Macaca mulatta: one gene and its partners. The protein of the gene in region 3 purifies or fractionates together with the protein of the main gene of each other region. This does not show direct contact. Links are inferred from orthologs where the notes say so. Each region holds a gene or a part of one and is shown on either strand. Other genes may lie near its edges.

Region 1 (3,648 bases), on a different chromosome or scaffold from region 3:
GCAAGACTCCCCAGAAGCTTCCACAACACTCGGACAGGAGGGCACAGACTGTGGCTCAGCTGGGAAAGGGGCCGCTGGGTGAGACGGGTGCTTATCGGGCTCAGCCTGACAGCTCCCAGACACAACGCCAGAGGCTGCAGGTGGGTGAGGGATGGCCACCAAGGCCAGAAAACAGCGGCTCAGGAATGAGGGTCTCAGGGCTGCGCCTCCTGCACTGGAGCCCAAAGAACCTATTCATGCAGCAGCAGCGGCTGTGGCCAGCGCCGCTCCGGGCACTCACCTTTGTAGCCTGGGCGGCCGATCTTCACAAACTTCTTCACCTCCACCTTGACCTTCTCAGGTGCAGGCTGGGCAGGGGCCTCCTTGGCCTCCTTGGCGGCTCGCCGGGCCCTGCAGGCAGGATGGACGTGGTGCTGGGGCCCCTCCACACACAGGCACCAAGGCCACGGGCCCCCTGACCTTGGAGCTCACTATAAACTGAGGGATGAGGAGGGCCAGGGGCCTGGGAGGGGCCCTGGGGTTTGGCTGAGAACAGGGATAGGACAGGCACGTTCTCTTCCTGTCATGCTCCTCACTGTCCCTGGCTGGGGTCCTACCAACAACTCCATGCCTCTGCTTTTTTTTTTTTTTTTTGAGACCGAGTTTTGCTCTTGTGGCCCAGGCTGGAGTGCAGTGGCGCGATCTTGGCTCACCGCAACCTCCATCTCCCAGGTTCAAGCGATTCTCCTGCCTCAGCCTCCCCAGTAGCTGAGATTACAGGCATGCACCACCAAGCCCGACTAATTTTTTGTATTTTTAGTAGAGATGGGGTTTCTCCATGTTGGTCAGGCTGGTCTTGCCCTCCTGACCTCAGGTGATCTGCCCGCCTTGGTCTCCCAAAGTGCTGGGATTATAGGCGTGAGCCACTGCGCTCGGCCTTTCTTCTTTTTTTTTTTTTTAAATAAGACTGAGTCTCGCTCTGTCGCCCAGGCTGGAGTGCAGTGGCGCCATCTCGGTTCATTGCAACCTCTTCCTCCCAGATTCAAGATTCTCCTGCCTCAGCCTCCATAGTAGCTGTGATTACAGGTGTGCATCACCATGCCCAGCCTAATTTTTAGATTTTTAGTAAAGATGGAGTTTCTTTTTTTCTTTTTTTTTTTTTGAGATGGAGTCTCGCTCTGTCACCCAGGCTGGAGTGCAGTGGCGTGATCTTGGCTCACTGCAAGCTCCGCCTCCCGGGTTCACGCCATTCTCCTGCCTCAGCCTCCCGAGTAGCTGGGACTACAGGCGCCCGCCACCACGCCCGGCTAGTTTTTTGTATTTTTTAGTAGAGACGGGGTTTCACCGTGTTAGCCAGGATGGTCTCGATCTCCTGACCTCGTGATCCGCCCGTCTCGGCCTCCCAAAGTGCTGGGATTACAGGCTTGAGCCACCGCGCCCGGCACAAGATGGAGTTTCACAATGTTGGTCAGGCTGGTCTCGAACTCTTGACCTCAAGTGATCTGCCCGCCTCAGCCATCCACGCCTCTGTTCTCTAATGCTCCCCAGAAACCGTACTCCAGCGCCCAGGGAGGCCCAGACCAGGCTGGCTTCCCGGCCGTGGAGCAGTGGCCCGTGAGGCTCACAGAGACTTGAGCCGACAGCTGCTGGAGCACCAGGAATCGAAGGGGCACGGGGTACTCACAGGTTGGTCTGGTGCTTCTTCCCCTGGGTATGTGCCAGGTAGCTCCCCTGGAGTGGAAAGGAAACACACATGACTCGGGCCGGGCAGACAGACACAGGCAGGTCCCCCTGACGTCAGCCACTCAGCCCGCCGCGAGCTGCCCGGAGCCGGGCAGAGGCCGCACCTCATTGTTGTGAAGCGTCAGGCACAGCTTGCATTCATAGGAGCCCAGGTGGTTCTTCATGAAGTACGGGTCCTGGAGGGGAAGAACAGGCGCCCGTTAGACAGATCGAGGCCTGCTGCGGTCAGGGCCCTCAGACGCAGGATCCCCTTTCTGTACAGGCATGGCTGTCCCTGACGGTGTCAAGCGTTTCTGAAAACGGGGGATCCGGCGGGAGGCCTTTGTGAGCACAGGTGTCACCGCCTGGGGCTGTGGCCCAGGCTCTGAGCAGCGGGGGTTCCCAGGGAGCCCCCCGCACCACCTTCCTGGTGGTTCTGAGTCAGAGGGAGGCAGAGTCAGCACAGCACTCCTGGTCACTCCCAATGCAGGGAGCTGTCCGCTGCCCACGCCACCACACCAGTGGTCGGCACAAGGCAGACACAGGCACAAGAAAAGCAAATGGGCTACACTGAAGGCCCAGAGACCCGTCCATCTCCAGGCCCTAAGCCGGGGCAGCCAGGCGCACGCCTCTCGTCTCAGACGCTGGAGTTCAAAGGCTAACTCCACCATCTGTGGCTGGGGCACCCCTCCACCCGTGACGTCATCTGGAAGACAGGGACAGTGACAGAGCCCTCGTCATAGGCCAGGTCCGTGGGGCGTGTCAGGGTACACAGAGAGTGCTCCAGTCCCGATGTCCACAGTGCTGAGGGGACCCGGCTCATCCCCGCCCCTGCACAAGCTAAAATCAAAGGCTGCCCTTCACCACATCTGGCTGGACTGACATAAGCTCTCCCCACTCCCAGAAAATTAAATGATGCGAAACAGAAGGTTTTGGACAGAACAAAACACTCTCACACGGGGCTCAGAGCCACAGAGGGTCTGCTCTCTAAGGCGGACAGATGGGAGCTGTAGCTACTCGGGGCAACAGGGGAGCATCTGGACACGGGGCTGCACCGCCCAGGCTGGGTGGAGGCCCAGGAAGAGCCTCTGGCACCCTCTCCAGGGCTGTCCTGGAAAGCCGAGCCCCCGCCACAGGCGGCTGCACGGTGGCTGGCCCACCTTGTTGATGTCGATGGTCTCTAGGGCCAGCTGCCGGAGGCGCTCCCTGCGGTCACGGTTGCTCTCGGAGGAGGAGGCCACGCCCCCGCTCCCGGTCTTGCCCCCAGGGCGATGCTGGAAGTCCATGGTGACGGCCTTGGGGCTTTAGCAGACCGGGAGACACCTGTGGAGGCCAAGAGGAGAGAAAGAAGGATGGCTCAGAACTCACGGCTGCTGCTGGGACCTCCCTGGGCCAGGCCACCAGGCTGGAGCCTGTGACAGCCCCTCACCCTGCACTCCCAGAGCCAGGGTCTAACCAGCCCTGAGGGGGCCACCCCAAAGTGCACCCAGTCTCTTCCAGGAGGCCGAGGCCCACTGTGGACAGGCACAGACACGAGGGAAGCTGGAGCCTGTCTCCAAATGAGCGTATGTGAGGGATGGAGAGGAAGCCACTCCAGCCCAGAGTGCCAAGGCCTGGAGACCTGAAATGGAGCGGGGAGCCCAGAGAAGGCATAAAGGGAAGACAAGGCCAAATTCTCACAAACGAGTCACCACCACCAGGGAGCCTTCCCGGACTGCCTAAGCCCCCAGTGTTCAAGCCTTCCTCTGAACTCCCTCTCTGGTTGGCTGCGCTTACTTATCCCCAGCCTAATTCTATCTCTTGGGTTCGCTGTAAACTTATTGGGAGGTGAGGACACTGATCTTTGTGTCCTGACTGGGTAACATCCGGGAGATCGGTCACATCTGCTTGTGGCGCAGGAGGGCTCTGCTGAGTCCCCAACAGGCAGCCTCCTCTCATCTCCTGGCA
Region 2 (3,648 bases), on a different chromosome or scaffold from region 3:
ACAAGGCCATGCAAGGTAGGGCCCTGACCGGGCTGCTCCCAGAGCGAGAGGGTGCAGGGGCTGGGATTCTCCGTCAGTCATTCCCCTGCGTGTGTGCGTGGAGGGGGTCGAGGACACAGGTGGAGGGTTGCACACCCTTGGGAGGTCTGGTCTCTGTGCTTTTGAGGCCTCCCTCTGGACGCCATTAGGAAGTGAGGCTTCTTAGGAGTAGCAGTTACAGGGTGGGGGTCCCGAGGTGGAAAGAGGATTCTGGAAGGTGCTAGGGCCGAGAGCCTGTAGGAGCTTTTTGCCGAGGAGGGGAACTCCCAGCGTGTGGTGGGGGGAGGTCACTGAACACTCCCCTGATGGGGTTTTATCCTGCTTTTACCCCCTTTGAAGCTGCGGGTCAGATTCCAGCCACTGCTCTTCTCCCCACCATGACCCCTGACGGTCTGGCTGTGACCCCAACGCCGGTGCCCGTGGTTGGGAGCCAGATGACTAGACAAGCCCGGCGCCTCTACGTGGGCAACATCCCCTTTGGCATCACTGAGGTACTGCCCTCCCCCTGCCCTCCCCTCTCCCTTGTCCCCTACCCCATTCCTCCCCTTCCCTCCATTCCCTTTCCCCAACCTGCACGGGTCAGACTCTGCTCCTGCAAGCCCCCCCGGCCCCCTCCCAGACGGACCGATGGAGTTGAGCCAGCCAGGGGCCGGGCTGGGGGTGGCCCTCCCTCCCTCCTCTTCCCTCTCCCGTCTCCCCTCCCCCCAACCTCCTCCAGCAACCCAGGGATCAAGCACACACATAATGTACCCACGTGTTGTACCTACGTGTCGGAGAGAGACAGAGAGGGAGACTTGGACACACACACACACACACACAGACGCACGCTGCCCCTCAGTTTTTTTCTGACACGCCTCTCCTTCTCTGCCGCCTGTCCCCCATCCTCTCCCCCACGTCCCTCCCATGGTCGCTGTTCTTTTATTTTTGATCGCCCCTGACCTCCCCCTTCCCCACCACTCCTTTTCCCTCTCCCCTCTCCCCAACCCCTTCCTGTGGCACCCCCTGAGAATCCCGAGATCAAAGAGTTGTTTCCATTTCTCTTTAAAGTGAAATATTGTGGGGCTGAGATCCCTCGTAGCAACAAAAAGTTTGCTACCATCGTCGAAGGCAAGTAAGGTCCATTCTGACTTTCTCAACCTGCACTTTGCTACATTTGATAAACCAGCCCCCGGACTCCAGGGCCAGATTCCTCCACATCACTCTTTTCTCCTCCCCTCCCGTCCCTGCCCCTCCTCCCTACACTCCTCCTCTCCCACCCCTGCACTCTTGACCTCGTCCTCCTCGCTCATCTCTGTCCTGCTTTCCTTTTCTGTCCTTTGCTCGTCTCTGCCCCTGCCTGCCGCTTCCTTTCTACTTTCCTGCCACTTTTCTCTCTGTCTCCACCGGGTGTCCGTTCCCTGTGTGCCCTGTCTCTTCATCTCCTCTGTTTCATGTTTTTCTTCATTTTGTGTTGTCACCATTCTCTCTGCTTTTTCTTGAACAATCTTCTCCTTTCCCCTGATTTTTTGGGACCCCTATGGCTGTCCCCCAACGCCTGTCCATCGCCTGCCCTTGGCCGTCTTCTTGCTACTGCTTCCTCCCCATTTTCTCTCTTGCTTCTGTTCCTACTATTGACTTCTACACCCCCACCCATATTCCACTGTTCCTTCCCCCCCTCCTCCCTCCCCTCATCCCTCTCCCCTTACCCCCAAACCCCTCTGTGTCTCCCTCTCTCACCCTTCCCCTCCTCTCTCCACCTCCCTTCCCCCGCCCCCCCCTTGTCTCCTATTCCCTCTGCAGGAGGCCATGATGGATTTCTTCAATGCCCAGATGCGCCTGGGGGGGCTGACCCAGGCCCCTGGCAACCCGGTGTTGGCTGTGCAGATTAACCAGGACAAGAATTTTGCCTTTTTGGAGGTGAGCTGGGGGAGTGCGTGGGGTCAAGGAAACGTGTGTGATGTGAGGGCCCATCCCCCAGGCGGCAGGTGTGTGGAGCTGCCCTGCGCTGTTTCCACTGGGCCCTCTGCAGCCCATTCTCCACCTGGTCGCTGAAGTGAGCCCTGTAATAGCTCTGCAGATCTGATCCTACTTTCTGCCTTACCTTTGCTTTCTGTGTGACCCGAGAGGCCTGTTTGGCCTCTGCCGACCTTTTTGGCCTTTTCCAGACCATTCTGGCGCAGTCCTCTGCACTCTGGCCATGCTGACCTTCCCAGTAGTACCATGCTCCTGCATGCTTGGCTAGAGTTCTTCACCCCAGCTGACTGATGTTCCTAACTAGTCTTCTGTCACCCCAGCTGACTGATGTTCCTAACTAGTCTTCCGTTACCCCAGCTGACTGATGTTCCTAACTAGTCTTCCGTTACCCCAGCTGACTGATGTTCCTAACTAGTCTTCCGTTACCCCAGCTGACTGATGTTCCTAACTAGTCTTCTGTTACCCCAGCTGACTGATGTTCCTAACTAGTCTTCTGTGTCAGTGTTTCTCAACCGTTGGGAAAGGGCCTTGGTTTTTGATTTTCGACTCTTGGACTGATACCTGGTGAAGTACTGTGAAGGCATTGGCAGTGTTGGCTTGCTCTAGAGGTTTCTGAGCACTCCCTCTCACTTTGTACTTGCCTCACTGCAGTCCACTTTCCGTTGCGCTGCTCCGGATGTGGGCTGAAATGTCCCCTCACCAGAAATACTCCAGTATTGTCATCTCCCCATTCAACTAGGCTTCCCCGTGACATCCTTTTTCAGCATTTTGTCCCTCTTCTGCATCGTCACAGCCTGCAGTTGTGTGTGTGCCTCTGTGTTGGTGTTGGGTGCCTGGTGTCTCTCACGGTCGAGTGTGAGCTCCTGGCAGCAGGGACATGCGTGTCTGTTGTCCTCCCAATGCCCAGCCTGGGGCCTGGCATGTCATATTTGTTCACATGAGTGAAAGGAAAGAGGAAATCCCAATCCTGGAACACTAGGGCCTGTATCAGTCACTGGCCGCCACCCTCACCACACCTTTCTCTTTCATTCAGTTCCGCTCAGTGGACGAGACTACCCAGGCCATGGCCTTTGACGGCATCATCTTCCAGGGCCAGTCACTAAAGATCCGCAGGCCTCATGACTACCAGCCGCTTCCTGGCATGTCAGAGAACCCCTCCGTCTATGTGCCTGGTGAGTGGGGGATCCATTAAGGGTCCTCTTCCTCCCCAGTCCTGTTCCCATGGCCCGTCCTTCCCTTCAGCCCAGCTGGAGTGGCTTAGGAAGTCATGTAAGTACTGTGGACCATAGGTGCCTTTTCCCTGCTTCCCCTCAGTCTGTGTGAGTGGGGTGCTCTCCTGCTGTTAGAGAAAGTGCTTAGGGCCGGGAGAGGGAGCTGTGACCTGCTTGGGGACACACAGCTTGTACGTGGCAGAGCCAGGATCAGACCAAAGGTGCTGGGGGAAGTGAGGGGCTTGTGGTCGGGACCTGGTGCCTGCTCTGGGACCTTGGAGGGCTCGGTCTGTGCCCGTCGGGGCTGGCGTGCGTCGACAGTTGGCAGCAAAGTTCCTGCTGTGGGGTCTGGCACCTGGGTGTTCACTCGTTTTTTGTTTCCCATGTTTGCCTTGAATCTTGTGTTCTGGGCCATTCCCCATAGCTGTGTTTAATATCGTCTCTA
Region 3 (3,648 bases):
TAAACTTGCAGGAGAATCTAAGAGCAGAGTGTCAAATACAGAAACAATTTTGGGGTGATTACCAAACAGCAAAATCAAAATTATTTCTCTGTATTTCAAAAGAAAAGATTTTTTTTCCTTTGTATTCATTCTTAGTTCTTCTGAAAGGTTTATATTTAAATTAACACAATGGCCATAATGCAGTATTTTTCTTAGCAATGTACAATCCAAAAGAAAGGAGTATAACCTTTCCTACTCACATTTTAAAAACCACTTTTTGTGGAGCCCAAAACAATATTTGATGGCAAAGATTTGAAACAAATGCAGTTGACCAATTAGTAACTACAAAGTGAGAATGTAACCCAGCGTAAAAAACTCACAAGCAAAATGAAACCAGATCCATCAAGACCAGAAAGCAAAAGTGAAGTTTTCCACTTCACTATTATTTCAACTATATCTCTTAATGAAAAAGGGAATGTATATGAACAAGAAACAGTATATTTGGAACTTAGATTCTTACTTTTGATTTTCTTCTTCTTCTGATTCTTCATGCTGGTCAAATAATTCCCATTTAGAAGTTGTAACAGCTGAATAGAAGGAAAAAGAGGATGTAATTCCATGAGGTAAACTAGCATTTTTGCAGCAGCACAGTGGAAGCTCAAGCTTTAGAACTGAAAAGTTTATATTACAGAAGTTTCCTTTATCTATGTTTATCAATTCTCTAAATAGCTATTTATATGCCAATTCTCTTTCCTCACACCTACAGTATAATTCAAATTCATGAAGTGATGAATAATGTCATCCCTGTTTCTGTGTTGAATATTAAGATTTCATTAGAACCTACAAATAGTAACAATTATGGATTATCAGCACTAGGATACAGGTCTAAGTAAGTGTGAGACAGGTCTAAATGGCATCTAATCAGTCTAGGATTATGGGAGGGTCAAATCAAAAAGTTTCTCTGAAACTGACCTCTATGTAGATTTCTACGTAGGTACAGCTTCCTATCTACATTTACTACTAAAATGCCTTAACTTGAAAGGTTTTCAGTGATATCTCATTACTCTCAAAGCCTCCAAACTGAAGGACCTAAGAAAATTGTAACAGCAACACCAACCACAATAAAAGTGTACATTAGACACAAAATACGGTAACATTGAGTATTAAGGTTAAAATGTGTTACAAAACATAAAAGGAAAACATATATACAATATACAAGCACACCAATAAATAACTTATTAAGTACTTAATGTAAAAAATACTCATTTTACTTTTACTCACCCTGTGCTTCCAATTCAGATTCATCCACAGCTTCCCATTTTGATGGGGCAACTTTAAATATAGGCTCATTCTTCTTTGAGTCTTCAGTTGCATCCACTATTAGGGAAGATAAGCCATTAACCCTGACGACTAGGGGATGATGCAAAGTATTACGTTCATGGGTGTTCACCATATTATTAAAAAGCAAAGTAAAATAAGGACACGGATGGACCAACCGTAATCCTGAGAACAAGGACTATGACTAAACCAATTCTCTGCATCTGAGGGCAAAATTTTTAACAGTATATATTATATCAATTCAGAAAATACAGGTTAGTAATATATTAAGCAAGTGAAGAAGTTGAGAAGTAAAACAAATCTTTAACAAATCTCTACAAAACTGCATACATTATTCAATATTTAAACATATAATTCAAATGTACCAAAGAGCTGTGTACAGTTCCTATTTTCAAAATGGTTCTAGGCAGCTAGGAAAACTGAAGTTGTAGGTTAGAAAAACTAATAATAATACAGAACTGATAAAACCAGGTACCCAGGAATATGCATAATTGAACACAAGATTTTGCCTATAATTTCCTGACAATTAAGACAAAAAGAGAAACTTGCTAATGTTATAGAAGGCTGACTGTCCCAGCAAAGAAATGTGACCAGAAAAAATGCTGCTTCTTGGCCTTTTATATACATAGCATACAAATAAATGTATTACTGGGTATTTGAATTTTGAAAAAATCAGAAATAGTTAACTTGATACCTTCATGAGAAACTATAACCTTCTTCCATATCAGCATGTATGGAAATTAGAGTTTTGGTCACCAAACTTATTAGCTAGATTTAATCAGTTTGAAATTTGAACTTACAAGGCACTCCATCAAGATCATCATCAAGACTTTTTATAGGGACTCCATCAAGATCATCAATGGGAGTAGCATCAATAGGAATTCCATCTACATCTTCCAGAGGTGCACCATCAAGCTCTTCCTCAATGGGGGCACCATCAAGGTCATCTGGAACATCCTATGGAAATGTGTACTATTGTAACATTTTCCTTTGCTTGCTGAAGTCACACTGCTTGTAAGATTAATTTGTAATCCAGTACAAGCCAACATACCAGGATACCCACAATCCAAGGTACATTGTAAGAACATAGTAAGAATATATATTCTATCATCCAGTTTGCTAAAGAAGCAGTCAGTTGTGCATTTATCTAACATTTACCAAGTGTTCACTGGTGCCAGGTACCATGTAAGGAAATGATGAGCAAAAACAAATTTGGTCCCCCTGTTACAGAGCCTGGTAAAGGTTTTTGTTGTTGTTTTGGGGGGTGGGGAAACCAGGAAATCAGATCATCACAACAATATATACTTATCTGTAACTATGGTAACTGCTACAGCAAAAAGGCGTATCATACTATTAGCATAATAAGTTTCACTTAAAGAGGTCAGAGAAGGCTCTCTAAGGTTATATCTGAGCTGAGATCTGAAGGATCTCAGGTAAAGATAAGTCCCAGAAAGAGGGAAGGACATGTATACAGGCCAATGGTAGGTGAAAACACACATTTAGGAAACTGAAACAAGGACCATGTGGGTTACAACAGCAAGGTCAATTAGGAAGATCCTGCAGGGGTGAAAGTGAAAATATAGTAGCTTGACTAGTAAGGCAGAATTAAACATTAAGGGTTCAGTAATTATTTAGGAGGTAAAGAAAAACAACAGAACGGTGGTGTATATCTGCTATCATGTGATGCATCTTTTCATGCACATATTTTACTTATATAGCTATCTTTAACAAAATAAAGTCATGCTACATAAATACTGCTCTATTACTTGCTTTTTTTCTACTATTAATATCATAAGTCTTAGGTCATTAAATAAAAAACCACTCATCAATTTTCACATAAGGACACAAGACAGAGAATTCCTGTTATATGTAATTTTGACTCCTGGGTTCCAGCAATAAAAATCCACTATTTAGTGGTAAGCAACAGATATTTTTCACAAAGAAATATACCTCGCATATGTAATGCAGCATAACTCCAAGAAACCTCCACCCCAGAAACGAATTTTAAAAACAACCAGACAAATACAGAGTGCCTACCTCTGTTTCCTTTTCTTCAATAATATTTACAAGTCCTAAGAAAATATTTTGTAGTTTGATCAAAAATGGTTCTGGATAAATTGCCCAATCTTCCCATGCTCTGAAGCAAGTCATTACCCGTTGCTAAATAAATAGGAAACAGATAACAAATTTTTATTTTGGGCTATATGTCTCAAATTTCAGTTCATGAGAATGACCATCAAGATTTGCTAAATTTGCCTTTAAAATGACATTTTTTAAGAAAATTACTATATATCATTACCATATTTTTTAAGAAAAATCAATGTCACCTTC

The links.
Region 1: the proteins of U2SURP (region 3) and SF3A2 purify together in Homo sapiens (affinity purification with mass spectrometry; 3 studies listed by BioGRID, with this or other methods). This does not show direct contact. The link is inferred for Macaca mulatta from reciprocal best matches to the Homo sapiens genes U2SURP and SF3A2.
Region 2: the proteins of U2SURP (region 3) and U2AF2 purify together in Homo sapiens (affinity purification with mass spectrometry; 3 studies listed by BioGRID and IntAct, counting the BioPlex papers as one, with this or other methods). This does not show direct contact. The link is inferred for Macaca mulatta from reciprocal best matches to the Homo sapiens genes U2SURP and U2AF2.

Annotation. Positions count from the first base shown.
Region 1 is NC_133424.1:2,990,491-2,994,138, reverse strand, and holds part of SF3A2 (splicing factor 3A subunit 2), read right to left. Parts: intron 3,025-3,648; 5' UTR 2,988-3,024; coding exon 2,862-2,987; intron 1,899-2,861; coding exon 1,827-1,898; intron 1,711-1,826; coding exon 1,664-1,710; coding exon of another isoform or gene 1,635-1,663; intron 414-1,634; coding exon of another isoform or gene 391-413; coding exon 281-390; intron 1-280. UniProt on the Homo sapiens protein: Component of the 17S U2 SnRNP complex of the spliceosome, a large ribonucleoprotein complex that removes introns from transcribed pre-mRNAs.
Region 2 is NC_133424.1:68,010,896-68,014,543, forward strand, and holds part of U2AF2 (splicing factor U2AF 65 kDa subunit), read left to right. Parts: coding exon 1-15; intron 16-378; coding exon 379-530; intron 531-1,818; coding exon 1,819-1,935; intron 1,936-3,025; coding exon 3,026-3,164; intron 3,165-3,648. UniProt on the Homo sapiens protein: Plays a role in pre-mRNA splicing and 3'-end processing. By recruiting PRPF19 and the PRP19C/Prp19 complex/NTC/Nineteen complex to the RNA polymerase II C-terminal domain (CTD), and thereby pre-mRNA, may couple transcription to splicing.
Region 3 is NC_133407.1:46,012,878-46,016,525, reverse strand, and holds part of U2SURP (U2 snRNP-associated SURP motif-containing protein), read right to left. Parts: intron 3,478-3,648; coding exon 3,355-3,477; intron 2,275-3,354; coding exon 2,118-2,274; intron 1,357-2,117; coding exon 1,261-1,356; intron 567-1,260; coding exon 500-566; intron 1-499.